Linked DNA regions of Cricetulus griseus. The main gene of each other region encodes a partner of the protein of the gene in region 7 in a complex. Links are inferred from orthologs where the notes say so. Each region holds a gene or a part of one and is shown on either strand. Other genes may lie near its edges.

Evidence for each region.
Region 1: Polr2e (region 7) and Asdurf share a complex: the UniProt entries of both Homo sapiens proteins name them as parts of the PAQosome complex. The link is inferred for Cricetulus griseus from reciprocal best matches to the Homo sapiens genes POLR2E and ASDURF.
Region 2: Polr2e (region 7) and Taf1a share a complex: the UniProt entries of both Homo sapiens proteins name them as parts of the pol I pre-initiation complex. The link is inferred for Cricetulus griseus from reciprocal best matches to the Homo sapiens genes POLR2E and TAF1A.
Region 3: Polr2e (region 7) and Polr1h share a complex: the UniProt entries of both Homo sapiens proteins name them as parts of the pol I pre-initiation complex. The link is inferred for Cricetulus griseus from reciprocal best matches to the Homo sapiens genes POLR2E and POLR1H.
Region 4: Polr2e (region 7) and Ercc2 share a complex: the UniProt entries of both Homo sapiens proteins name them as parts of the TBP-based Pol II pre-initiation complex. The link is inferred for Cricetulus griseus from reciprocal best matches to the Homo sapiens genes POLR2E and ERCC2.
Region 5: Polr2e (region 7) and Rrn3 share a complex: the UniProt entries of both Homo sapiens proteins name them as parts of the pol I pre-initiation complex. The link is inferred for Cricetulus griseus from reciprocal best matches to the Homo sapiens genes POLR2E and RRN3.
Region 6: Polr2e (region 7) and Gtf2f1 share a complex: the UniProt entries of both Homo sapiens proteins name them as parts of the TBP-based Pol II pre-initiation complex. The link is inferred for Cricetulus griseus from reciprocal best matches to the Homo sapiens genes POLR2E and GTF2F1.

Annotation. Positions count from the first base shown.
Region 1 is NC_048595.1:402,525,206-402,529,311, forward strand, and holds the start of Asdurf (ASNSD1 upstream open reading frame protein), read left to right. Parts: upstream 1-1,306; 5' UTR 1,307-1,414; coding exon 1,415-1,504; intron 1,505-3,126; coding exon 3,127-3,180; intron 3,181-4,106.
Region 2 is NC_048598.1:11,101,042-11,105,103, reverse strand, and holds the start of Taf1a (TATA box-binding protein-associated factor RNA polymerase I subunit A), read left to right. Parts: upstream 1-1,262; 5' UTR 1,263-1,567; exon of another isoform or gene 1,568-1,921; intron 1,922-2,795; exon of another isoform or gene 2,796-2,805; 5' UTR 2,806-2,807; coding exon 2,808-2,931; intron 2,932-4,062. UniProt on the Homo sapiens protein: Component of the transcription factor SL1/TIF-IB complex, which is involved in the assembly of the PIC (pre-initiation complex) during RNA polymerase I-dependent transcription.
Region 3 is NW_023276806.1:228,752,000-228,756,252, forward strand, and holds the start of Polr1h (DNA-directed RNA polymerase I subunit RPA12), read left to right. Parts: upstream 1-1,453; 5' UTR 1,454-1,496; intron 1,497-4,253. UniProt on the Homo sapiens protein: Core component of RNA polymerase I (Pol I), a DNA-dependent RNA polymerase which synthesizes ribosomal RNA precursors using the four ribonucleoside triphosphates as substrates. Can mediate Pol I proofreading of the nascent RNA transcript.
Region 4 is NC_048602.1:27,967,166-27,970,665, reverse strand, and holds part of Ercc2 (general transcription and DNA repair factor IIH helicase subunit XPD), read left to right. Parts: coding exon 1-27; intron 28-369; coding exon 370-493; intron 494-584; coding exon 585-681; intron 682-766; coding exon 767-900; intron 901-970; coding exon 971-1,139; intron 1,140-1,582; coding exon 1,583-1,701; intron 1,702-3,314; coding exon 3,315-3,384; intron 3,385-3,461; coding exon 3,462-3,500. UniProt on the Homo sapiens protein: ATP-dependent 5'-3' DNA helicase. Component of the general transcription and DNA repair factor IIH (TFIIH) core complex, not absolutely essential for minimal transcription in vitro.
Region 5 is NW_023276807.1:74,975,384-74,978,883, forward strand, and holds part of Rrn3 (RNA polymerase I-specific transcription initiation factor RRN3), read left to right. Parts: intron 1-284; coding exon 285-374; intron 375-2,652; coding exon 2,653-2,791; intron 2,792-3,500. UniProt on the Homo sapiens protein: Required for efficient transcription initiation by RNA polymerase I (Pol I). Required for the formation of the competent pre-initiation complex (PIC).
Region 6 is NC_048598.1:96,546,490-96,550,570, forward strand, and holds the start of Gtf2f1 (general transcription factor IIF subunit 1), read left to right. Parts: upstream 1-1,281; 5' UTR 1,282-1,546; coding exon 1,547-1,558; intron 1,559-1,643; exon of another isoform or gene 1,644-1,649; coding exon 1,650-1,696; intron 1,697-3,012; coding exon 3,013-3,085; intron 3,086-4,081. Other genes in the region: adenylate kinase isoenzyme 1-like, read right to left, coding at 1-162, 868-928. UniProt on the Homo sapiens protein: TFIIF is a general transcription initiation factor that binds to RNA polymerase II and helps to recruit it to the initiation complex in collaboration with TFIIB. It promotes transcription elongation.
Region 7 is NC_048598.1:100,836,432-100,840,463, reverse strand, and holds the start of Polr2e (DNA-directed RNA polymerases I, II, and III subunit RPABC1), read left to right. Parts: upstream 1-1,232; 5' UTR 1,233-1,334; coding exon 1,335-1,391; intron 1,392-3,005; coding exon 3,006-3,204; intron 3,205-4,032. UniProt on the Homo sapiens protein: DNA-dependent RNA polymerase catalyzes the transcription of DNA into RNA using the four ribonucleoside triphosphates as substrates.

The DNA.
Region 1 (4,106 bases), on a different chromosome or scaffold from region 7:
CCATGCACCAAGCAAGCCATGTCCTAGATGCCAGGAAGTAGGCCATTGGTCAGTGGTCTGTCCCCGTGTCCCAGGTGACAAGAGGACATCAAACACAGACGGCCTTCCAGTTGATCTCTTAGCCCTGGCTATGGATGAGGACTATGAATGACAGGGCCCAGGCTCTCTTGACCCGACCACCATCATCTCTGAAAGGGAGCCCCGGGTGGACATTAAAGTATCAGGGCGGTTTATCTCTTTCCTTTTGGACACTGGTGCCACATACTCAGTCCTAAAGGAGTTTTGGGGACCCACCTCTCTGTCTCGTCTTCCTATTGTCAGGGTAGGAGGACAGCCTTACTTACCTCAGCAGACTCCACCGCTTAGCTGTATTTTTAGGGGGATTCCCCTTACTCATTCATTTTTGGTTATACCGACTTGTCCTGTGCCTTTACTAGGGAGGGACCTTCTAGCTAAGGTAGGAGCTTCTATTTCTTTTGCTCCCCACATTCGCCCAACTCCAGACTCGCCAGCGGCTCCCCTCCTCCTCCTCCTAGCTACTCACCCTACAGGTTCCAGTACGTCATTTCCTTTACCAGCCTCTCAGGTAGACCCCAAGGTCTACCAGAACCCTTCTGTGGCTAGACACCATCCCCCCTTGTCATTCAGTTACAGGACCCCTCTAGGTACGTTGCTCAAGTTCAGTACCCACTCCCACTCCAGAGCCTTAAGGGACTTAAACCTATTATCTCTGACCTCCTAAGGAAAAAGCTACTTCGTCCTACCTCCTCCCCCTTTAACACCCCTATACTGGCAGTAAAAAAACCTAATGGGACTTTTTGTCTGGTTCAGGACCTCCGTAACTCTATGGTAGTGCCCCTCCATCCTGTGGTTCCTAACCCTTACACACTCCTCTCTACTATCCCCCCGACATCTCACTTCTCAGTTTTAGACCTTAAGGATGCCTTTTTCTCTATACCCCTCCACACCTGGTCTCAAAATATCTTTGCTTTCACCTGGACTGATCCAGATACTCATGTCTCCACTCAGCTCACCTGAACCTTTTAATAATAATAATAATAATAATAATTATTATTATTATTATTATTATTATTATTATTATTATTATTATTATACATCGGATCCGCTAGGGGACGACACAGAGCCTTCATAAACTCCGCAACCAGGCAATTGTGCCTTTAGTTCAAACCAGTTTGCGCATGCCCATAACTATGTCTAGTCTCCCACCCATACTCCCCCAACCGCCCTCTACTGCGCAGGGGTGAGTGTGCGTACTCCATTGGTCGGGATGCCGGAAGGGGCGGGTCCACTGAGAGCTCGCACGCCGGATCAGGGCTTCCTGTCCTCGGTTCCGTCCCGGCGGCTCACCGGCGTGCATCCCCGTGGGCTCACCGGCGTGCGACCCGGCGTGGAGATGCCCCGAAGTGGGGTACGAGCAGACTATCGCGCCGCGCCGGTGCCCCCCTACAAGTCGGATGCACGCACGGAGGCCCTTAACAGCAAGGTGCGGTGGGTGGCCGGGGAGCGCCTTCCGGCTGGGGTTCCCGGCGGCGCCCGGCAGCCCGGCGGCGTGCTCCTCGCTTCCGTAGTCGGTTCTTGGCACCCGCCTCAGGCTGCCCCTCCTTCCTGCAGACTTGCAGAGAGGGAGGCACAGAAGCTTGTCCCCCAAAAAGGGGGGGGGGGAGAGACACTGGCGGAGGTTTGGTGGGGCTGTCCCCTTACCGTCCCCCTTCCCTTCACGCGGATCTGTTGCTCTGTGGATCTGCTTCACCCTGTTAGCTACGCACCCGCCTGGGGGCCATCCTTGACATCCATCCCGAAAGTTTAGAAATCTGCCAGTGTCCTTCCAGACGCTGTCACTGGCTGTTCTGACTCAGGGTGTCCCCAGCTGCCTGTGTCCTCCACTGTGATCCTAAAATACATTTATCTGATGGTCTCTAAGTAGGACTCTTGCAAGTTAATCTTTGTCTGCCTCCCTCCCCTTTTCTCTTCCTTCCTTCCTTCCTTTCTTCCTTCCTTCCTTCCTTCCTTCCTTCCTTCCTTCCTTCCTTCCTTCCTCCCTCTCTCCCTCCCTCCCTTTCTTCCTTCCTTTCTTCCTTCCTGAGCTTTCGTGTCTCTCAGGCCAGGCGCAAACACTGTTGTTTGAGAGGGGAGCATGACCTTATTCTCTTGCCTGACAGCCATGATTTCAGGGTTGCACCACCTTGCTGAACTATACCATTAATCTTAACTTCCAATTACAGACAGTCTTTAAACATGTATAGTGGAGAGTATTAAACGTTTTAAATTCTACATTTTTTTTTTTCTGTCCCAAGTGACATCTTGGGTTAGTGACCTTATTCCCACTGTATCACAGTTTTCTTTGGTGTCAGCTAAAGTGAGATGTCTACCTGTCTTTCCTAAAATGAACATAAAACACCATACAAGCAGACTTGAGTCTCAAGGAAGATGAACTCGTGTGGCTTTGTAGTTCATCACTATAACTCTCACCTCTGCCATCGTGGAGACATAAGGATGCATACTCACTAGGGCGGGTGTGAGTTTTAAAAAAGACCTTGCTTCTTATTACTGTGTGTGATGGTGTGTGGTTACTTAAATTAGTTATTGCCTAGTTAGGCATTCATTTGATGGTCACAAACAAGCCTAGCTTAATGATAACAGCAGTATGCAGTCTTTGCCATGCAAACAGAATGATGCAAAGATGAAAAATGATGCTGTATCTCCCCAGGTAGGGCATCCAATACTATTTATCTGAATGTCTGGCTATCATCTAGTACATACATGAAAAGTAATTGTTGTTGGGGAAGGGGAGAAACACATTCATTTTCTTTTTTTAAAAAGTGTACAACAAAACTTTATAAAACTAATTAAAGGGTGGGTATTGATTTTGGTGAACAGTGGCTCACTTTGGTTAAGGTATAAGCCATGTGGTAACTGGCAGCTGGCAAGTCTAAGTCAGCTTTTCCTTCTCCAGCTGTTTTCCACGGAGTCCAGCTGGGTGTTGTTGCCCTGTAGAGTGTCCATTTAGACAGGTGGTATGTGACAGCCCCCAGTCCCATTATTCAGAATTTCCTCACCAAACATACTTTGAAAACGTCTACTTTAGGTTTTTCTTTATTTTAATAGATTAAAGAACAAAAAATTCTTGTGGATGAACTTTCTAACCTGAAGAAGAATCGGGTAAGTTACTGTTGGAATCCGGAATAGTATACAGTATATTAAAATCAGGAATTAGATCATTTATGCTAAAATTACAAAATTCTAACATACTAATTTAAAACTAAAGTATCCTAGTTTGTTTTTCATGTTTTTCTGCATGTATCAGTAAATCTCAAAGTTGACAGGATTCTTTCCCTATTACATTTTTAACAAAAAAAGAAACAATTACTTCCTTTTCCACAGCAAACTTTAATGCTCCAAGAACTTAACCTATTTAATTCCTTTTTTATGACATGTTCATAAATAAACTGCTGTCTCATGTGTAGTTTTACTGTTAAAAAAATATATCTTAAATGAAGAAATGATTTTGTTCTCTTTCAAGCATTTTAAAATGACTGACATTTTCAACATTTCTGATATTGTCATTTATGAAATATTAGAACTAAGGCAAATTAATACAAAACTTCTGGAGACCAGATTGGCAGAATGTATAAACGCTGTATGAGACTTGACCTGGAGCTTCTTTTAGAGTAACTGATGAATAAACAAACAGTCGTGAAAACACATGGGCATTTAACTGCAGTGGCAATCTGTAATAATCATGAATTGGCATTCTATCAAATGTCTGAAGTTTGACAGCAGCAAAGAACTATAGTATTGTGCCCGTGTGGTAATATAAAGAACCTTCATTGATCAGAAAAGGTCTCCATGTTGTTTTATAAGAGTAAATTATAACCCTGTGGCTGTGGTAGCCTTTGTCACTGACAGTAACATGACATAATGGCACATACTATGCAAACAGCCCTTTCTAGGTGGCAAGTATCGAGTGGCTTTGTATCTGTTTATATTTGATAAATTGCTGTTTTGAATATTACTGAAGCTCAAAAATAAGTGATAATAGGATTGTTGAGCATCACTATGCAAATCATGTCCTGATGTTGTAAATT
Region 2 (4,062 bases), about 90 Mb from region 7:
CCAAACAAACTGAAGGGACCAGCTCCCCATTTCGGCAGACATGACAGTAACACGTGCTTGCCATGACCTTGTCCTAGTCACTAGAAAGTCAGATGCCTGCCTGTGGCAAGGAACCAATCAGAAGTTAGCTGGTGGCGCTATGCTTTACGGCTCTGGGTGTGCTTTATGGACAAGTGCACAGCAATGGCTTGAAGAGCATGGCAACCACCCTGGGAGGGCCTATGGGCCATAACAACCAGTTGGCCAATCAACACAGGGCAAGCCCTCCAAGCCTGGAGGCACACCAATCCTGAGCCTGTGTGTACCCCTAGACACTCCCCTTATTGCTGCCCTATAAGATCTCTATGCAGACTCTTCGAGCTGTCTTTGCTATCCGAGCTCGTTAAACAATAAAGCCTTGTGCAGTTTGCAGCAAGCTTTCGAATCTGCCTGGTGATTAGGGTGACCACAGTCCTGGGCTGAGACCCTGGAGGCCTGAGGTTTTCCGGGGTTCTAACAAAACCAAACCAAAACAGGCTTAAGGGCAAGGAGTAATGATAGACCGGCTAATTTCCATGGAACTCAGACTCTTATTTTCAAGCAGTAAATTCGGAGTTTAGGAGGAATCCATTGCATCATTTATGCAGCCTTAACTATGAACTATTGTTTTTTTCCCAATGACTTTAAGGTTGCCTCCCTTTAGCTTTTACTCATTAATGCTTGTTCACATCTGTGTAATAATCTGCCCATTAACCGATCAGTCCTTCACAGAGTATTTTTCCAAACATCTCAGGCCAGTCTTCAGGGTCATCTTCCCTCGCAGCGTCCCCCTTCTCATACGACACTGCAATTCCACTATCCACCTCCATAATCAATACACGGCTGCCAATGTCCCTCTTGAGAGCGGACTCCAGGCCGATCGCCAGAACACTCCACGTTGATAAGCGAAACACGGACTCTTGCTCCAACTGTGAAGGCAGCAAGATGCTAAAAACTGTAATGAAAATAACTTTCAGAGCAGCAATCAGAATCGGCAATGCACCCCCTGGCCACACTCCGGTCTTGCGATGGGAACCTTCCAGTTTCTGGCTGGCACAGATCAAGGTGTAATCAGGGCCAAACCAAGGCGAAGGCGGAAGCTAACACCCACTTCCGGGTCAAGCCTCTTCTGGCGAGGCTCTTGGGCTCTCCCCCCAGGCCACGCCCGACGGAGGGCGGGGCTACGCAGCGCGCTACCCGAACGCCGGCCGGCTGGTTATGCGCAGGCTCACAGGAAGCGCTCGCTGAGGACTTCCGGAGAGGGTTTTCCCTGACAGCCCGCGGCGTGCGATCGGGCGAGCGTGGCGCCGGGGAGAGCTGTGTGAGCGCCCCGCGGTTCTGGGAGCGTCAGTTGCGGGCCGGGAGGTTTAGGTTACCGTGGCGGCGCCGCCGCCGCCAGTCTGAGGACTCGGGGCTCGCGTCAGGCGTCCGCAGCGTCCGTGGGGCCGACCTCACTGAATTGAGGCGTCGCTTCAGGCTTTGGCGCCCCACGGTGGAGTCGGCTTTCCTACAAGGCTTAGTGCGCGCTCGCGGGGCCGGCCGCCCCCAGGTGAGGTGGAGCAGCACCCCGGGGCTGGCCCTGCGCCCTCCCCGCGGCGCGGTGACTAACCACGCACCCTCAGCCTCCCGCGCCGCAGGGAGACGCTGCTGCCAGTCAGCAGGCTCGAGACCCGGGCCCGTCTCCAGCGTCGCGGAAAACACACACACACACACACACACACACACCAGCAGCGCCAGAGCACTCACCCTGGACCAGTCTGAAGGTGTCCGGAGCCAGGGTGGCGCCGTAGGATTGCAGAAAGGAGGGGCGTTTGGTGGAATTCTAAATCGCAGTACCCGAAGCTTCAATACCGGATAGGTACTCAGAACTGGGGTCTGCACCCTTTCGACAGTTCAATCCAAGGTCAGTGGCATATGGCTGCTTTTGTAGAGTCATTTATTTGCCATGGCCCCCTGCCCACCTCCTAGCCATTTTTTTGGTCACACCAGCTAGTCTGTGTGCTCTGCATTTGCTAGACTCCTGTCTTCACTCCTTTTGGTCATGTTACGTATTTTGTATAAGTCCTTCAGCCTTCCTTCCTTCCTTCCTTCCTTCCTTCCTTCCTTCCTTCCTTCCTTCCTTCCTCTGCCACCACCACCCAGCAAGTCCTACAGTTTTCATTACTAAGTGGGAGAGAATAGGGTTGCTGCTGCGATTAAATTAGATATTTTATAGTCTAAGTATGTAGTTAAGTCCCAGTAAATACTAGCTCCTGCTGTTACTGTACTTGCTATATTGTGTTATGTATTCTTCAGTTTCTTTATGTAGCTTTAGCTTTTTTACTTTGTAATTAAGGATGTCTCATTTTTGTATGTTCTTGGTTCAGAGCTTTGCAGTATTATGTTTTATGGATTTTAGAAACTTTTTATTTTACATGTGTGGGTGTGTGCCTGCATGTGTGTGCCTATGTTCTGTTGTGAAGGTGGTTGTATGCCCTGGGACTAGGGTTCCAGAAGATCATGAACATGGGTGCTGGGAACCAGCACAGGTCCTCTAGAAAAGCAGCAAGTGCTCTTCACTGCTGAGCCGTCTCTAGTCCCCAGACTTCTATTTTTAAAAAATGTGACTTGAGTTTAGGCTGTTGTTGACTTAAACAGATTCAGTGTTTCCTTGAAAAGAACTGTCAGATACAATGGGCCCTGCTGCTCAGGTGACTTTGCTACAAGAAAAGATTGCTTTTCAGCTCAAGTCAGGTGCCTGTGGGTTAACGTGTACTGACGCTAACTGATACTCTCAGTTTGGAATAGATATGAGCGATTTCGATGAAGAATTGACAAAGCTTGCTTTGGCAGAGGATGGCAAGAGAGAAACCTCTGTGTTCTCTAATCCAGGAATGCATTTCCCGTGGCTTCAGGAGCGAATAGAGACTGTAGGTAAGTGGGACAGCACTTTCACTTTAATGCAACTAAGTGTCGAGACTGAACACAGCTACAAAGTGAATGACCAAGCCAGGTCATTTTTCCTCCCCCTTAATTTCTGTTGTTGTTATTGTTGTTAGACAGGGTCTTGCTGTTTATCCCTGGCTTGCCTGGAACTCACTTCATGTAGCTCAGGCTGGTTTAGAACTCCTGGTTGTTCTTGCCTTAGTCTCCAGGTGCTAGGGTTACAGGTGTGAATCAGGGTGCCTAATATTGTAATAAGATTAGATGGGGGTTTCCCTTTTCTTTCTTACAGCTGGAGACAAAAAGGAAATTAGAAGAAGTAGCTTTTTTTTTTAAATTTTATTTTATTCTTTTGGTTTTTTAACACAGGGTTTCTCTGTGGCTTTGGAGGCTGTCCTGGAACTAGCTCTTGTAGACCAGGCTGGTCTCGAACTCACAGAGATCTGCCTGCCTCTGCCTCCTGAGTGCTGGGATTAAAGGCGTGCACCACCATGGCCTGGCCCTTTTTAAAAAATAATACACAGTCTATATTATGAACTACACATGTATAAATTTATATATATGAATATAGTTCTCTTTACTGAGCACTTGTATTTGGCATTGGCAGAATATTGGGGACGTACAGATGAAGAAAATGTGGTCTCATTGAGGAGCACATACATAGGAAATGTTAAGGAAATTTCTGTTGAGTTTAATGGAAATGGTTCCTTATAGCATTGATGTAATAGGTTTAAAAGGCATCTTTCTTCATTTTTAATCTAATGTAGATGCAGACAATGCTTTTAGTGGGTTAACGTCTATAGGACTATATGAAGAAGCCGTGGTGGAATGCTGCATGGGTCAGACCTTTAAATACACTTAAACCTGCACTTTTCTTATTACTCTCCATGCATTTCTTGGCTCCAAGAATTTAGCTCCCATTTAAAAAGAAAAATTCATTTAGTTTTATATTCCCAGTAATTTAGTCCTCAGTAAATGTGAGGACACTGAATTGCAAAGAAATTAAACTCGCCCCCCCTCCCCCAGGTTTCTCTGTGGCGAAATTAAACTCTTAAGTAATGATATAAGGAAGCAAATCAGGTCTGTCTGATCTCAAGTCCTGTACTTCTAAACATAAAGAGG
Region 3 (4,253 bases), on a different chromosome or scaffold from region 7:
TTACCATTATGCCCAGACCTATTAACTATGAGTATATAACCACAATGGAATGGGAATATAGCAAGGTATAGGAGCAGGCTTGTTAAGTGACTGAGCAACAAACATGTCCTGGAGAAAATCCTGCACATGAACTAGAAACATAAGGATAGAATTGTTATTGCTCTTTTTTTCTTTGTAAAAGCATAACTCCAAGTTGAGAAAAAAAATCAATAGTGCAAATTATGTGAACAGACCAGGTAATTTGTTTTTAGCACATTCATTTTAAGTTCTATATATCTTCAAGGATGAATTTAAAAACATCAATGAATAAAAGTTCATCCCCACAATGTAACTGCAAATAGTACCACTTAGAAATACATTCTTGGATGCCGGGAGGTGGCTATGAGTGGGAGTACATGAAGCTTTCTGGAGTATGGTGATGTTCCACTTTTCAGCCTGAGTTGTTACGGGGCTTTACTACGAAGCCCACTGTCTTCTGGCTCCAAATGATCCTGTCTAAGCTCTGGGATTACAGGCATTTACCAACCTACCAAGCTTAAAGAAAATGTTTTCTCTCATGCCTCCTGATCTGAGGTCCTAGGCTAGGGGTTTCCTCTAGGACTTCATAATCCTGCATCCTGCTTGGTCCTTTCCTTCCCATAGCTGGAAAATGATGTCCTTGCTCTCAGATCATTTCTCCAGGAATTGGTTCTCACCATTCCATTCTGACTCCTAAGTCTAGCATTTTCACTCTCTTCACTTACTAGAGCAGTGGTTCTCAACCTTCTTGATGCTGTGACCCTTTAGACAGCTCTGGATATTCATGTGGGTGTTTCTGCATGGGCATGAACTCATGTGGAGACTGATAGTGAAGGGACCAGCTTCCCTTTCAGCAGCCATAACAGCCGAACACATGCTTGCCATAACCTTGTCTTGGTCACTTAGAGGTCAGATGCCTGCCTAGTGACAAGGAACCAATCAGAAGTTAGTCACTAGAAAGTCAGATGCCTGCCTCGAGACAAGGAACCAATCAGAAGTTAGCTGGTGGCGCTATACTTTATGACCCAGGGTGTGCTTTATGGATAAGCACTCAGCAATGACGCACAAAGCATAGCAACCACCCTGGGAGGGCCTATGGGCCATAACAACCAGTTGGCCAATCAACACAGGGCAAGCCCTCCAAGGCTGGAGGCACACCAATAGTGAGCCTGTGCATACCCCTAGACACTCCCCTTACGCTGCCCTGTAAGATCTCTTGGGAGACCCTAGGAGCTGTCTTTTGCGAGCCATCTGCCACGGCGGGTGGGTAAAAGACCCGAGCTAACATGGGGTTAGCTTGTTAAATTACAATAAAGCCTCATGCAGTTTGCATCAAGCTCTCGAATCCGCCTGGTGATTGGGGTGACCGAGAATGTGGCCTGGGACCCCGGATACCTGAGTTTTCCGGGGGGTCTAACATTTGGGGGCTCGTCCGCGATTTGCGACCACCCTTCACCTGAATGGATTCGATCTTGGAGGTAAGATGATTCGAGCTCGCAACTTATATGTTCAATGTTATATGTTTGCTTGTTTTTGTTGGTTTGGTGCCACTTGAAATTGCTCTTTTGTTGATCTGAGCCTGCGCAGGACTCGTGATTTGTAATTTGGACTTCAGGGGGAAATAGACATATTTCAAAGTCCCGTCCTGGACAAAAGTCCGAGGGCTATTTGAATTGAACCATAGGGTAAGCAGACGTGCACAGAAATAGACGTATTTCTGGAATCCTTGGTTCCGCCCTGGATGAAGTCCAAGGGTTGTTTGTAATTTTGGTTTGGGGCACCATTTCTTTGCCACAGGGTTTGTCCTGTCTGATGTCCTGTTTTGCTGTTGGTGTCTGTTAAGCCTAGAGGATTGGAATGGGCTGGGTGACTGAACAGTTGAGCAACAGGTTTGTTATCTGTTATCTGATCTGTTGCAGCCCACACCCTAACCGTCTGCTTGTGTGTCAATTTTACTATTTCTGTTAATTTTGTGGATATGGAGGTCCTATGTTGGGGTTTCTGGCGACATCTGTGAGTAGGCCTACAAGAATTGTTTAAGGCGGAAGTTCGGGCGGCAGCCTTCCGAAATCTATAGGGGAGACTTGGTTTCGAACCAAGTTGATCTCCACGGGGCTAGCCATCTGAAATTCCGAATAGGACCCTAGTCTGTGTTAAACATCTCTTTCTGTCCCTACTGCCCATGCACATGGAATGCATGGGTCAGGGGTCTTTTCTTGATGCTCTGAGCACATGATGCCACCTCAACTGTGATCAGCAGATGCGCCCGGAGGACAGACTGCTGCTCTGAGGACACCCAGGAGGTACGAACGGAGGCCAAGGACTTGGATCCTCCTCAGTTAGTGATGATTGTAGCCGCTGGGTTCTGCAGCCCATCTTCCGTCGCCATTGCCTTATAAGCGGCGCGGGCGGATTGGGTTGGCGTCTGTTCTTTCCTGTCTATTCTGTGTTATCATCATTGGTTTTCAATTCAGGATCCACCACACCACCCCCTTTCTATCCCCACCTGCGGGTCTGTGAGGCATGCCAAGTGGGGCTGTTTCTGCCCCAGCTGCCATCCTGCCTGCCAAGGGAGTTTCCCTGCTCTGAGGGAACATGGCTGCAAGGCCCGCCATCTGCCTGGCTGCTCGGCCTTCTCTGTGCTCCACACACATGGTATGCAGGGGGACCGAGGGGGTCTTTATCCCATTATCCCACCCCTGCATTGGCCAAGGGTCTGGGGTTACCACCAACACCCCCACCCCAGGTCTCTGCCTTGAGCACATGGAGCTGGGGCGTATGAACTTATCTGGCCTGATCCGGACTTCTAAAAAAAAAAAAAGGCCTTAAAGTTATTAAAAGTTATTAAAAACTGTAAAAGGGACTTTGATAAAAATTTTTACATTGACTGAGAAATGAGAGAAAATGTAGGAGACTTAAATAATAAAGAGAAAAAGGAAAAAGAAAAATTTGTCTAAGAATGTCTAAGAAAATCAGAGGAAAGAACTATAAAAAGTTATAGAAAGTTAAAGCAAGTCATAGAAGGTCAGAAAAGAGATTATTAAAAGAGAAAAATGTAAACTGTTTGCTATGGTTTCTCATGTCAACAAATAGTAAATTTTAAAAATGGTAATATAAGTTAAAATTTTAACCATATTAAGCTAATTCTGTTTTTAAAAAGTCCTGTTTATTTCTCAAGTAATTTATGTATACTTGTTTTAAAATGTTCTTTTTCCTGGTATAACCTAAGTTCTGTTACAAGCATGTTAAGCAAAGGGTGCAAGTTATGGCCATTTTGTAACCAGCCACATGGCAAACTGGTCACATGGCTGACTGGCAGCCATTTTGCTGAAGTTGAAAAAAGATACTTAAACCGCCATCCTGACTAAAGATGACCGCGTGGAAATTAGAGGTTCCATCTTAGAAACAAGCTTTTCAGTTAAGATTTAAAGTGTTAATGCTTCTATATATTACAGAAAGATATTAAGGGAATTTAAATTTCTTTTTAAAACCAGTTTTTTAAATGTTTATTTTTATTAATGTTTGTACTTAAAGAGCTTCAATTTAAAATTATTTTTAAGCAAAGCCTGACAATGTAAAATTCTTGTTTTATAAAAGCTGCTAATCTATTATAAGATGTTTATCTTTTCAGAAGTTAAGTTTAGGGTGTTGGTGGCACACGCCTTTAATCCCAGCACTCCAGAGGCAGAGGCAGATGGATCTTTTTGAGTTCAAGGCCTGCCTGGTCCAGCATATTGAATTCCAGGACAGGGTCCAAAGCCACAGAAAAACCCTGTCTCATTTGAGCAAGCAGCTAAAATGTGTACTTGTAGCTACTGTTTAAGGACTATAATGTAACCCTATGCAGTCTTAAATTCAGCTGTGCTAAGTTTCAAATATTTTACTAAGTTAAAACCAGTTACAGTCAGGCTGAAAATTAATTACAGAAATGAGACCTCACCTAGCCACCTGTATGTTTCTTGTGTGCTTAAGGTGAAAGACCCCTGCCCCTTAGCCCTTTCTTTCTCAAGTTTGTCTCCTCTTCCTCCTGTCGGCGGCTTCCCCGATCCCCACCCCCGGCGGCTTCCACTTCCCCCGCCACCAGCCGCACGCCCAGCCCGAGAACGAGCACCAGGTGGGCTGGCCCGAGAACGAGCACCAGATGGGCTGGCCCGAGAACGAGCACCAGGTGGGCCGGCACGAGGGCAAACACCAAGTGAGCCGGCCTGGAGCCCGGCCCCTGAGCCCCCGCCCGA
Region 4 (3,500 bases), on a different chromosome or scaffold from region 7:
TGCCCCTACTTCCTGGCTCGATACTCGGTGAAGAGTTGTTTTGTTTTCTTCTGGGGCAGGGTCTCACTTATAACCCAGGCTGGCCTCAAACTTAGAAGAACCTTACGCAGGTTCCCAGCTATGGGGGTTATAGGCATGAGCCACTTTTGCCCACCCCTCCGTTAGCCCATCTGTCTGCTTGCATCTTTGTTGACCTGGTACCTAGGTCTTCCTGTCTCCAGCCTCTGTTTATGCCTTGCCTGGGTGGTCCCATCTGTCTTTTCCATCCACCTGCTGTCTGTCTTGGTGTTACGTCTGTACACCTGGGAAGGAGTGGTATGGCGGGGGCAGCAGGGCCCAAGGCAAAAACTTATCCCTCCATGTTCCTAGATCCTGCATGCCAACGTGGTGGTTTACAGCTACCACTATCTCCTGGACCCCAAGATCGCAGACCTGGTGTCCAAAGAGCTGGCCCGCAAGGCCGTCGTGGTCTTCGATGAAGCCCACAACATTGGTGAGGAGGGTGCCAGGGTGTGCAGACAGCGGCGGCCTCTCTGCCCCGCCCCCAAGCCGGCTGAGCCCATGTCTGTCTGCTTTCCTCCTAGACAATGTCTGCATCGACTCCATGAGTGTAAACCTCACCCGCAGGACTCTGGACCGCTGCCAGAGCAACTTGGACACCTTGCAGAAGACGGTGCTCAGGTGCCCACTCTGCTCCCTGTGTGCCGCCTGCCTCCGTGGCCCTGGACACCTGCCCCATTCCAGCTCTGTCCCATGTCCCCGCCAGGATCAAGGAGACAGACGAGCAGCGGCTGCGGGACGAGTACCGGCGCCTGGTGGAGGGGCTGCGGGAGGCCAGCGCGGCGCGGGAGACAGACGCGCACCTGGCGAACCCTGTGCTGCCGGACGAGGTGCTGCAGGGTGAGCCGTGCCCCACCCCCCACCCTCACACGCCTTCCTTCCCGTGCCAGCTGACTCAGTCTCCCTGCAGAGGCCGTGCCAGGCTCCATCCGCACTGCCGAGCACTTCCTGGGCTTCCTGCGGCGGCTGCTGGAGTACGTCAAGTGGCGGCTGCGCGTGCAGCATGTGGTACAGGAGAGCCCTCCTGCCTTCCTGAGCGGCCTGGCTCAGCGCGTGTGCATCCAACGCAAGCCCCTCAGGTGCGCATGCTGCCATGGGGACCTCAGGTCCAGACCTGTGGCTGGTGACGGGGTCAGGGGTCAGGTCAGAGTCGGATGTGGAGCGAGCCGTGTCACTGTGAGGTCAGCTCTTGGCTGTGACCGCTGCAGGACTACCTGGTACTTCTGCAGCCCTATGCGTGTGCATATGCGAGCCTGGGAAAGTGTGTGGCTGTTCTTTCTGAGCGTGGGGCCCACGACACTGGCTGCACAGCACAGTGACTGATGGCCATGGGTCTTGTTTGACAAGAATTTGCATACAAGCGGCAAACCTGGGCGCCGTGTGCGTGTGCTAGTGCTGTGCGGTAGCTGTGGATGTTTGCAGTGTGGGGACAGCTTGGCCACAGACGATGCCCAGGTAAACAGGTGGCGAGAGTCCCAGCCATTGCTGCTTCCCTCCCTCTCCCGACCCCATGGCTTCTCAGGTTCTGTGCTGAGCGCCTGCGCTCCCTCCTGCACACCTTGGAGATTGCTGACCTGGCTGACTTCTCCCCGCTCACACTCCTTGCTAACTTCGCCACTCTCGTCAGCACTTACGCCAAGGGTAAGCTCCCCTCTTGCTCCTCCTGGCAGCGGACTTGGGGGCCTAGCTAAGTCGGGTGGGGTATTAGCAGGAAGTCTGGGCATGTGAGACAGGGGATTTGAGCTACTATGAGGGCCCTGGGGAACAAGCGAGTGAGCGAGCCTCGTGTTCAGATTCGTGTGTCTAGAGGCTCCTCCTGGCTGCAGGGGGAGAACTCGAGTGAGCTGTGATACTGAGCAGAGGGATGCTGTGCGGTCAGCCCACCTTTGGCTGGGGGAGAAGTCCTCATGTGTGCCTGAGGGCACCGGGAGCCATGGCAGGGTCTGGGCAAGGGATGTACTTGGTGAGGTTGTTGTTTTCAAGGTTCATCCAACAGAGAGGGGGAGCCATAGACTGTGGGGACAGGAAAAGGGAGCCTTGGGGAGAGCTATGGGAGAAAGCGGCCAGATGTAAAAGCCCTTGAGGGAGAGGGATGCAGGTGATGCACAGGGAGAGGGGACAAGCTACAGCTTTTGTTGCCCCCGCCCGCCCCAGCTTTGCACTGAGTTTTTAAGCTTATCCCTGGGGATTAGTACCGTAGCCAGGAAACCAGGTCAGCTGGCGTCCTGCAGCTGGCCCAGCCTTGGAAGAAGGGGCTGCTGGCAGCTGTCTGCTTCCTTCTGCCCTCACCCAGCCTCTTCTCCTGGCCTTCATTGTTCTCCCTCCGGCCCCCACCTACTGATGCATCCATCACAGTCTTACAGAAAGCCTCCTTCCCTGTGCCCCATCACCTGCCCGAGTCAAGTCCTTTACCTCTCAGAAAGTCACCCCCACTCCATTCCATCCTGGGCCTGCCCCTCCCTCTGTCCCAGCTGGGTCTCTGGCTAGCTGTCTCCCCCGTGCAAGGAGAGCCCTTTTGGGTAGGACCGAGATTCTGTTGGTTTCTGCTGGGTCCTCAGCATGATGCTGGACACAAGACCTGGTCTTTCCTTGCCAAGTGAAACAGAATCTGTGAATGTAATCATTTGTTCAGTCAACAGATGGGCCAGGCTGGGCCCCGTGGAGACAGCGGGATCTAACACAGCCAGGCTGGGCCCGGAGTCTAACACACACAGCCAGGCTGGGCCCAGCACAGCCTTAGTTGCCCCCCTCATCCTCCTGTCCATATCCCTACCCTCATCTGGGAGCCACAGCCTGGGGGCTAGGAGCAAAGATCACTCCAGAAGGGGACACTAGAAAGTGTGGCTGTGCTGTGAGGAGCAGGAGTCCTGGCTCCCAGGGTGCCTGTGGAACAAGGACCCAACCAACCAAGTGGGCCCTGGGACATGACGCTGATACCGTAGCTGGGAGCAAGGGCTGGCCCTGCAGAGTTCATGGGCACACTTCTGGGTATGGCAGGAGTGTGGAGACACCAGCCAACTTAAGGTTCCATAGCGTCTCCCCGACTGCAGTGTGGGGAGCAGGGGGGGACAGGTGGGAGTGAGGCCGGCCTGGGGGAGGGCGGGCCTGGCCTCCCTGCGGGGCCGTGCAGTGAAGCCCTGGCTCACCCTGCTTCCACACCTGAGCGTTTGTACAGTCCTGTCCTGCGCTAGCCATGGCAGGGGCAGGGGCAGGCGGGGGCTGTCGTGCACACTCACCGGCCTCCTCCTCCCCAGGCTTCACCATTATCATCGAGCCCTTTGATGACAGGACCCCGACCATTGCCAACCCCATCCTGCACTTCAGGTGAGATGCAAGCCTGTGTGGACAGGATGGCTTCGCCCCCGGCCTCTGCCCTGGGTGACGACTGTGTTATCCCACAGTTGTATGGACGCCTCCTTGGCCATCAAGCCTGTGTTTGA
Region 5 (3,500 bases), on a different chromosome or scaffold from region 7:
TATCCCTCTCCTGCCTATCTATTGACTGTTCAGCTTTTTATTAGAACGGGTGCCTTCAGCAGGCAAAGTGAAACAGATGTAACACACCTTTACATAATTACATAATTAATGCAGCACAAACAAATGTAACACACCTTTACACAGTTAAATATTCCACAGCATAAATGTAACACACCTTTGCCTAGTTAAAGTAGTATTTCACAACAATAGTATATACAGTAGATTAATTTTCAGCTACAAATAGCTGCATTTTTAACTGCTTTATTTATGTTTTTATGATATAGGTGAGTGTATCCCGGCAGGATATTGAAGATGCTGAAGAGGCAGCAGCTCAGACTTGTGGGACAGATACCACGGAAGGATTGTTTAATATGGTCAGTACCTCTTTGTTCTGATGTTGATGTTTAAACTTGTTTATTTTTATCTTGTATTTTGATTCTTATCCTTAACAGAAGCATACATTGGAAGTTCACCACTTCAGAGTGTGGAAAAACTCAGCTAATAGCTTAGAGCCTTTCATAGGCTTACTTAAAGCCTTTTCAAGGCTTTGTGTTAAAACAGAACAGTGGAGAGGCTGGAAGGATAGCTGTCCTGGAAAAGTGCTTTCCTTGTCCATATAAGGACCTAAGCTTGACCCCTAGTGCCTAGAGAAAAACGTTGGGTGTGGTAGTATGTGTTCAAGTCCCAGCACTAGTGAGGCACAGACAGGAGGACCCCTGGCACAGTATTTGGACAGTCTAGGGTAATTGTTAGTGAGAGACCCTTTTCTGGAGGTGGACAGCATTCCTGAGGAAGAATAAACCAAGCAACCTGTGGCCTCCACATGCATGTATACGTGTGTCTCCTAACATACTTGTGGCAATACATAAATATGTTACAGAGTTTCCTGCCCGGTTCCAAAGCTGCCCTGGAGCCCCCAAATAAACACACAAGACTTATATTTATATTAATTATAAACTGTTGGCCGTTGGCTTGGACTTCCTATTGCCTAGCTTTGTCTTAATTATTAACCCATTTCTATCAATCTATGTATTGCCATGAGGCTGTGGCTTACCCAGTAATGCACAGCATGGTGTTACTCCTCTGGCAGCCTACATAGTAACTGACTCTTGCAACGTTTCCCAGAATCCTCCTCATCTCCTAGTTCCACCTTTCTTGCTGCCCTATTGGCCAACAGTGTTTTATTCATCAACCAATAAGATAAACATATACAGAAGACCATTCCCCATCAATACATAAATGATATTGTTTAACAAACTTGAGAATACCTCCTTAAATAAGTATGTTGTGGGTTTACAAGCTTGTGATACCTTGCCCAGTGCTGACATGTTATTTACTGACTATAAATAGTTTATGTCCAAGGCTGTAAGATTTATTTTTGGGGAGAAGAGTTTCACTTTTTTTCATTGTTTCTGCAAGTCACAAGCCTCTGTGTGGAAACAGCAAGCAAAATGTGTCCCAGTTTAGTAAGTGTTTTGCCAGTTAGGTACGTTAAAGTATTCACTCCCTAATTGGAATGTGTGATGTGGGCCTGTGGGCCTTGACTGCCCAGAGTTTGAGCTAAATTGAGGTACTCTTGAGGCCAAGCATTAGAGAACAAGAAAATTGGGGTGAAGCTAAGTGAGAGCCTGTTTTCTGGGGTGTAGCAGGAAGTAGCTGTACCTTGAGCAGCTTTCTGGAGTCTGTTCTCTTCTACCATGTAGATTCTGGAGATCAGACTCTGGTCACTAGGATTGGTGGCAAACACCTTTACTCACTGAGGATCCTCTGGCTCTCTGCCTCTTTTGACTCCTTGGCATTGGTTCTGAGGCTGTGATTGGAGAAGCTACAAGTTGTTGGCAGACAGCGCAGCAGCTGGTGACTTGACCCCAGCAATGCAGTTACACAAGTCACCAAGATCAGGATGGGAATGTGCTGTTGGCATAGCCAGTTGTGTTTGGATCTTCTGAGAGTCAAGGCTGGGGATACAGCTTAGTGCTGGCACACATGCTTATGAGCATGAGGGACCAGTCCCAGTATCCCACTCTGCCACCTGTTCTATATCCCAGACCCCCAAATAAAAAAAAGTTAAAAGAGACGGGTGTTTGTTTAAAATTCAAAAAGTGACTTTGAACCACATCTCTGAATGAGAGTCTGGGACAGTGTCTGCATTTACTCTTCTCTTTTAGAAGAAATGATAGCCTAAGCCAGTTTTCCCCAAACTCTCAAGTGACTTTTTGTTTTGTTTTGTTTGTTTGTTTTTTGGTTTTTATTTTTGTTTGTTTGTTTTTGTTGTTTTGGTTTTGGTTTTTCAAGATTGGGTTTCTTGGCCGGGCGTTTGTGGCGCACGCCTTTAATCCCAGCACTCTGGAGGCAGAGGCAGGCGGATCTCTGTGAGTTCGAGGCCAGCCTGGTCTACAGAGCAAGTGCCAGGATAGGCTCCAAAGCTACACAGAGAAACCCTGTCTCGAAAAACCAAAAAAAAAAAAAAAAAGACGGAGTTTCTCTGTGGCTTTGGAGGCTGTCCTGAAACTAGCTCTTGTAGACCAGGCTGGTCTCAAACTCACAGAGATCCGCCTGCCTCTGCCTTCTGATTACTGGGATTAAAGGCATATGCCACCACTGCCCGGCTCTCAGTGACTTTTCATAATGCCAGTTTTCACTTCCTCATAGGATGAAGATGAGGACACTGAACCTGAAAGGAAAGCTGACCTGGATCGGACTAGCCAGATGGCTCACCCCATCGCTGAGCGTCTAGACATCCTGCTCTCCTTGCTTCTGTCCTATATTGAGGATGTCTGCCGTGTAGATGGTAACAACCAGAGTAACCTAGATAGTTGGCCAGTATCTTGAGAATGAGATAAGAAAGGGTCAGACAGATCAACTTCCATGGCAGTGTCACACAGCTTGAAAATGGGGGAAATGGGATTAAGATTCCAGTATTTAACTTCAAAGATGGTTGTGTTTTCACTGATGTGTAATAGAGGGTAATAGATGGAATCTGACCAGCTTTAGAAGAGGTCCCTTGTGTTTGAGATGCTCAAGAAGTTTAAGAATGGTGGTGGCATACGCCTTTAATCCCAGCACTGGGAGGCAGAGGCAGGAGGATCTCTGTGAGTTCGAAGCCAGCCTGGTCTCCAGAGCGAGTGCCAGGATAGGCTCCAAATCTAAACCAAAAAAACAAAAAGAATGGTGTGTTGACCACCTGTATAGTTCCTTGAGAAGCCCTTGCTGGATGCCTTCATTATACCCCGTGTTGAGACTTTTTAACATCACTGAGCAAACTAATCCTCAAGAAACAGCCTAGAGCTTGCATTTCCATGCACTTTGCTGTGGTTTAAGAATGAGTTTACTCCAAAGCCACAGAGAAACCCTGTCTCGAAAAACCAAAAAAAAAAAAAAAAAAGAATGAGTTTATTAGCTGGACATAGTAGCACATGCCTTTAATCCCAGCACTTGGGAGGCAGAGGCAGGTGGATCTCTGAGTTTGAGACCAGCCTGGTCTATAGAACAAGTCTCAG
Region 6 (4,081 bases), about 4.3 Mb from region 7:
TCTGCTGACCCCGCCGGGTGCACCTCTGAGCCTCCTCCCGCAGCAGCTGGCCCAGCCCCACGTGGCAGAAACCGTACTTGGTGGCCATGTTTCTGCACTGTGTCCCTTTCCCGCAGCCAGGGCCGCCCACCACGAAGATGATCAGGGGAGACTTCAGGACATCTGTAGTGTTCATGGAAGACAGTGGGTACTAGTGCGTGTCTTCAGGGTGCCCTGGTCTCGAATCGAAGGATCCCAGTGCTGGGATTCTCTTGAGCCATTTGCACAGACCTCCTTGGAGCACCCTTGTAATTCCATCACCCCATTTTACAGATAATGAAAGGGAGAGGCCCTCAAACTCACGCAGCCGCACCCTGCTCAGTCCAGCATGCGGTGGTCCTGTCTAACCTACCTGCTTACGTCTACAGTCACACCTCCCCCCGTGCTGGGGTCAAGCGTCCCAGCTTGTCCTCCCCCTGCCTCAGACCCCCCTCCCCCCATGCATTCCATAGTCAGCCATGGTTCTTTCTCTCTTTCGGCTCGCTTTGGTCCTCCTAGCCAGCCTCTGTAACCCAGGGTGCATGGCCCTTGATGGTGAAGAAATGAATGTCTCTGCTACCAACCGTGGAAGTCAGTAGCCGTTTATGGTTCAAGGTTTGTGCCTGCCTTGTCCCTCTGCTTAACCAACTCCTATGCATCCCTCAGGCCCCCGTTCTCTGAGCCCTTCCTCTAGAGCTGTAATTCCGCAGGCATCCACCACTGGGGGGGAGAGGGCATGCGCAGCTGCGTTCTTGCCGCGTTAGTGTGAGCACACCCGCACGGTGGGTGGGATACCTGCTCCCACGCCCCGTCCGCCACCCGCGTAAGCCAACCACCCCACCACGTTACCCTTCTCCTGGGTCCTCAAAGTTCTGCCCACCTGGGGCAGCGTGGACTGGCACAGACCCATGTTGCCCGCATGCCGGAGTACGCGGGGGCCGGGTTCCCACCTGCCCCGACCCCTTGGCTCCGCTCGACGTCACAAGGGGCTCATTTTTGCAAGATGCCCGGAATTCCCCCCGGCACCCGGGGCACAGAAAACGGAATCCCAGCCCCCCGCCCCCCCCCCCGGAGCCCCAAGAGTCCTCTCGCGGAGCCGGCCGCGGTTGCTATGGCAACGCGGCCTCCGCACCCGCCACTGGCACGTTGGCGCATGCGCAGGAGTGCCGAGGACGCACTCGCCAGAAGACGCCACTCCCACCCTGCCCAGGATGCACCGCGGTGCCTGAGCCGTGACGTCACGAGGGGCGTGCCCACGCGCCGTGAATAAATCACTCGCGCTGGCGGCGAGAGCGCTAGTCAGAGGCTGGAGACCGCCTGAGCTAGGTGAGTGCTGAGGTAGCTCCCACCCCGGTGTGGCAGTTCTAGTTCCGGGTCAGAGTCACGTCTTCTTGAGACTTAAGGGTTTGGAGACACAAAACACAGGATCATACCAACGTAACTCCCGGGCAAGTTGCCTTCCCCGGGACCGAGGGATACCACGAAGAGCATCGGATCACGCCGCCCCGGAACCGCTTGAGCAACGGCCATGGCGACTCTAGTGAGTATGAATGAAACGGAGAGGCGGGGTGGGGGTGGCAGGACAGATCCACGGCCTCTCCTCGCCTCACAAACCCGTGCTTCCTCTGCAGAGCCCCGGCAGCCAGAACGTCACCGAGTATGTCGTCCGAGTCCCCAAGTAAGTCACCCACACCCACCACACGCTCCTCGGCCCGGTGGTGGCTCCGTGCAAGTCACAGTAACAGTCACACCGTAGTTAATGTCAGGCTCGATGACTCTGTCCTATTTTCAGACGCTCAGGCCACACACGGTGGCTGCGTTTAATCCGGGAGACAGAGGGAGGTGGATCTCTGGGAGTTTGAAGCCAGCCTGGAAGCCAGAGCGCGTTCCAGGACAGCCAGGGCTACACAGAGAAACCCTGTCTCGAAAAAAAAAAAAATTCCCAAACTTAGATGAATGCGAGGCCAAGTAGTCCACCATTAAGCCATACCCAGCCCTCTCTTATTTTGAAGACCAGTCTTACTGTGTAATGTAGTTCTAGCTGATTTGACCAGGCTGGCCTTAAACCTACCAAGACCCTCACACACCTCCGCCTCTTGCCTGCTTGATCTCCTCTTTTTCCCAAGACAGGGTTTCTCTGTATTTCTTTGGAGTCTGTCCTGGAACTTGCTCTGTAGACCAGGCTGGCCTCAAACTCACAGAGATCTGCATGCCTCTGCTCCCCCCTCTCCCTCAGGTGCTGGGATTAAAGGCACTTGCCACCACTGCCTGGTGGCCCACTTTTTCTTTTATTATCTTTATGTGTAAGAATGTTTTGTCTGAGTCGGGTGTTGATGGCACACGCCTTTGATCCCAGCACTCAGGAGGCAGAGGCAGGCGGATCTCTGTGAGTTCGAGGCCAGCCTGGTCTCCAGAGCTAGTGCCAGGATAGGCTCCAAAGCTACAAAGAGAAACCCTGTCTCAAAAAAAAAAAATGTTTTGTCTGCATGTATAGTTATGCACTGTGAGCATGCTGGGGCTTCTGGGTGTGGCTAACTTCTGATAGGGTTGGAGGAGATGGATCCATTTTATTTTATTTATTTATTTATTTATTTATTTTTGATCTAGCTTCTTAAACAAACTCTGGAGCAGTGGTTCTCATCCTGTGGGTTGTAACCCCTTAGGTTCAAATGACCCTTTCACAGGGTCTAAGACCATTGGACCATTGGTCTAATTAGACCAATGGTCTAAGCCTAAGACCATTAGAAAACACAGATATTTACATTATGATTCATAACAGTAGCAAAATTAGGAAGTAGTAACGAAAATAATTGTGTGGTTGGGGATCACCCCAACATGAGGAACTGTTTTAAAGGGTGCAGCTTTAGGAAGGTTGAAAACCACTGCTCTGGAGCTTTTATGAGTTCCCAGAATTACCTACAACCAAGGGGTGTAATCATGGTGGATTTTTTGAATGACTAATCAGTAGACTGAATTTTCTCTTGCCCATTCCAGGAACACAACCAAAAAGTACAACATAATGGCTTTTAATGCAGCTGATAAAGTCAACTTTGCTACCTGGAACCAGGTAAGTCTATAATTCTGGGTGGCTGGGGCAGAGGCCTAACTGGGTGGTGGTTACAGTCATCACTTTCTTGAAGTGGTGGCGGCTACACTTACAACCCTGGCAGATGTGTGGTTCCAACCATTTGGAGGTGTGGTCTGACTACATAAATCCTGTCTCAAAAAAAAGCAAGCCTGGGTTGTGGCTGGTTAATGGAGCATCAACTAGCATATAGCAGGCCAAGTAGGACCCCATGTGTGCTGGACTTGGTAGCACGTGTCTATCATCCCAACACAGGCATGCGGTATAGGTTCTTAAATTGAAGACTATCCTTGGCTATGAAGTGAGCTCAAGTGAAGACTAGGATACCTGGACCATGCTTTAACAAAGACAAAGTATGGCGGGCGCTGGTGGCACACACACTTTTAATCCTAATCCCAGCACTAGGTGTCAGAGGCAGGTGGATCTCTGTGAGTTTGAGGCCAGCCTGGTCTACAGGGAAACCCTGTCTTGAAAAACCAAAAAATAAATAAGGAAATTTTAAAGGCCAAAGTTTTAAACTGTCCACTATTCTGGGTGCCATGTTAAAATGCTATATCTCCATATTGTCTGGTTGCATCTGAGCTATCCCCTGGTGGACACCGCCTGTCTCTGTGGTCTTTCTAAGGGCCCCATTCCCTGGAGTCCCTTTTGTGTGTGACATTTCGTGTGTGCACATGCACTTGTGGGCATGTGGTGCATCTCAGGGCCAGAGGTTGACAACAGGTGTCTTCTTTAGTTACTTTGCACATTATTATTTGGATGACATATGTTAGGCCACAGATGAGTGTGGGACACAATTTGGAGATCAGAGAACAGCTTTCAGGGGTCAGTTTTCACCTGCCTGGGTCTTGAAGTCTAAGGCTTCGCAGGCAACACTCTCTCACAGACTTTCCTCATGAGTTTCTGAGTCAGGGTATCCCACTGAACCTGGGCTTGCTGACCAGTGAGTTCCAGGTACCCTCCTGTCTGTTCCTGCCT
Region 7 (4,032 bases):
AAACCACCACAGGAGGTAAGATCAGAGGAGGGACTCCTACAGACAGGCACTTGCATGTATCCTTACACTTTGGACTGACTCCCCTCAGTGGCACCAATTATTTTCCTAATGTCCCAGGTACTCAGGCTCTGCCCATTCATTACCACCGAGAATGAGAGAGTTGTCTGAAAGTAGTGGTTCAGGACTTTAATCCCGGTACTCAGGAGACAGAGGCAGTCAGATGGTCAGATCTCTGTGAGTTAGAGATCAGTGTGGTCTACAGACAAGTTCTGGGATAGCCAGAGCTACACAGTGAAACCCTGTCTCAAAACAAAACAAAACCAACCACCGAAAGAATGAGAGGGTTGTTGTCACCTGAAAGTTAATGACAAGGGCTCCTCCCCATACCAAAAACCAAAACAAACCCCACAAAAACCCCCAGGGTCTGGTCAGGAGCTCAGAGAGAGAGATTTGCCCACCAGAGTGCTGGGACCAAATGCACCCACCATTGCTCCCAGATCTAGATATGTTTTTCCAAAAACGTATTGTGTCTCTATCCCCTTACTCTGCGTTTGTGGCTTCTATAACCAGGGTGTCCCAGGCGCAGCCCAGTTTTGCAGCCCATGCAGTGGGTTCAGTGGTCAGACAGACTTGGTGGGGGCCTCGCTAGTTTGCTGGAAACTTGCCTTTCCAAGTCAGGGTCAGCACAGGTTCCCAGGCAGGAATTAGAGATGACCTGCGGACTCTGAGGACAAGCTCGGGCGGGACAGAATGGGAGGTATGGCGAGCATCTGGTTTTCCAGTGCTGGCCATGCTGGTACACGCCTTTAATTCTAGACTGAGACAACCTGGTTTATATATCAAATTTCAGGCCGGCCAGGGCTCACAGTGAACCACCCCACCCCCCAAAGAGGAAAAAGATACATAGACATTTCTTTTTGTTGTTGTTTTGTTTTTTGAGTCAGGGTTCCTCTGTATAACAGCCCTGGCGGTCCTGTCGCTCTGCACACCCGGCTGGTCTCGAACTCTCAGAGATCCGCCTGCCTCTGGCTCCCCAGGGCGGCGTTAAAGGCGTGGCCTACGCGCCCAGTTCCCTCTCGAGAACTCTTAAGCTGTGACGGCCAAGTATCGCGACATTTTCTCGATGGTGGTCTCGCGCAGCGGATCGCCGGGGCTGCCCGCTACGCAGCCTAAGGTGGAAGTCGCGTTTCCAGGCGGAAGACAGAACAGAGCTCGCTGAGCGGGAAGGGGAGGGCTTTCCGTTGTTCCGCGCAGACGCTTTGCGTGCGCAGGAGTGGGAGGAGCTCTTTTCGGCTTCGGCGCAGGCGCAGCGGTTCCCGGGCGACGGCGGCAGCATGGACGACGAGGAGGAGACCTACCGGCTGTGGAAGATCCGCAAGACCATCATGCAGGCGAGTGACCGGCCGGCCTCCAGCCCGCACCCTGCCTCGGGAGGGCTGCTGCGCGCTCACACCGCGCTTATGGGGGCCGGAGGGAGAGACTCGGGGTTCTCTGCGCGCTCACACCGCGCTTATGGGGACCGGAGGAGGGAAACTCTGGGTTCTCTGCGCGCTCACACCGCGTTTATGGGGGCCGGAGGGAGAGACTCGGGGTTCTCTGCGTGCTCACACCGTGTTTATGGGGGGCCGGAGGGAGAGACTCTGGGTTCTCTGCGTGCTCACACCGCGCTTATGGGGGCCGGAGGAGGGAAACTCGGGGTTCTCTGCGCGCTCACACCGCGCTTATGGGGGGCTGGAGGGAGAGACTCGGGGTTCTCTGCGCGCTCACATCGCGCTTATGGGGGCCGGAGGGAGAGACTCGGGGTTCTCTGCGCGCTCACACCGCGCTTATGGGGGGCTGGAGGGAGAAACTCGGGGTTCTCTGCGCGCTCACACCGCGCTTATGGGAGCCGGAGGGAGAGACTCGGGGTTCTCTGCGTGCTCACACCGTGTTTATGGGGGGCCGGAGGGAGAGACTCTGGGTTCTCTGCCTGCGGGGCAGCCCTCCACCCACTTAGCCCAGGCCCCAGCATCCACACGGCAGCTCACAACCATCTGTAACCCTGGTTTGAGCGGGTCTGACGCACTTTTCTCGACTGTTTCACACAGAGTGAAAAACAATATTTGAAAAAAACAAAAAACAGTTTTGCCCCGGCGTAGTGACAGAGAGAAGCCTTTAACGACAGCACTGGGGAGGCACAGGCAGGTGATCTCTGTAAGTTCGAAGCTAGCCTGATCTACATTAGCGAGTTCCAGGACAGTCAGGGCTTTGTAGAGAAGCCTTGTCTTAAGAAACCAAAATAAAGAAAAGGTAAAAATACTAATCTGGTAGCACATACCTTTCATCCCATCACTCTTGGGCCCGAGGCCAGTCAGTCTCTTGAGTTCAAGACCAGCCTGGCCTATTTGAAAGTTTGAAGTCACTCAGGGCTTCATTGTGAGACCCTGTCCCAAGAAACTTAGGTTGGCTGGGAAGTGGTGGTCCACACCTTTAATCCCAGCACTCAGAGGGCTGAGGCAGGCGGATCTCTGTGAGTTCAAGACCAACCTGTTCTACAGAGGGAGTTCTAGGACATCAGGGCTACACAGAGAAACCCTGTCTCTGAACAACAAAAGACAAAAAGAAGGAGACGAAGAGGGAAGAGACAGACCAGACCCCAGTTGAGAAAGAGGCCTGCATAGTTTTAATTTTTGCGTTGGGTGGACCCCAGGGCCTGGTCTCTCAGGCCTGCCCCTCAACCCGATGCTGGATTACACTCTACTCTTCCCTCATCACGCCTAAGACCAAACAGGAAGAGTGGGTGGGGGCACTGAGAGGTGGAAGTTGCCAGGGGATCTACCCTAGCCTGCCCAGTGAGGCTGGGGTGGGGTGGGGCCTGGTTGGGGACCAGACTGTGGCTTGGCCAGTACTGCTGGGTCACTTAAGTGCTCCTCCTCATGCTATCCCCGAGCAGCCCAGGCTGTTCAGGGATAGGTCTGGCACTGTAGTCCCGGAGTTCATGCTGAGTGTTCATTTCCTCTCTAAAGACAGGTGATTCTTTGTCTCTGCAGCTGTGTCATGACCGTGGCTACCTGGTGACCCAGGATGAGCTGGACCAGACACTTGAGGAGTTCAAGGCTCAGTTTGGGGACAAACCCAGTGAAGGAAGACCCAGGCGCACAGACCTGACAGTGCTGGTGGCCCACAACGATGATCCCACAGACCAGATGTTTGTGTTCTTCCCAGGTGAGGCCCCTTGGACCAGTAACAGAGGCCTGATTCTGGGGTCCCATAATTCTGGTGGCATTCCCCAGTCCCTGGCTCAGGTGCCAGTTAAGGTAACATGTCACAGCCCTCCCTCTGTGGTCTTCCTGCTCTCTGTCCAGCCAGTGAGGGTGGGTACCACCCAGGCCCAGCCTTGCCTGCAGGACTACTGTAGTCGCCAGCCTGCTTTTGTCCCTGCCTCCCCTGGAAACCTTCCCTTGTTTGGTTGGTGTCCATTCTCTGCCCCTTGAGTCCCAGCACCAGCTCTTGGGCCCTCTGGCTCCCATCTGCTGTGTTGTGTAGTTTCTGCCTTACAGCCCAGGCACTTCTGAAAGTGGGAGGGGTGCTATTAAAGAGCCTGAGCCCTTCTTGTGCAGCTGCCTCCTGGTCTCCCCAGACAGTCTGTTGCCTTCAATACCTTTGAGGTCCTGGGGCCTGTGAGAATTAGGGGTGCAGGGATAGGCGTGGCATCATATGCCCATAACCCCAGAACCTGGCAGACACAGACGAGGCAGGTGGTCAAGAACAGCCTGGTCTATACAGTGAGTGCTAGGACAGCTATGTAGAGCAGTGGTTCTCAACCTTCCTAATGCTGTGACCCTTTATAAAAACAGTTCCTCACGTTGTGGTGACCCCCAACCCTAACATTCCTATCTGTAATTTTGCTGTTTGGAGTCATAATGTAAATACTCATGTTTTCCTATGGTCTCAAAGGGTCAGGACCAATGGGTTGAGAACACTGATGCAAGAAGTCCCTGTCTCAAAAAGAAAAAATATACTGGGAGTGTTGAGTCTGAGATCCAGCAGTTT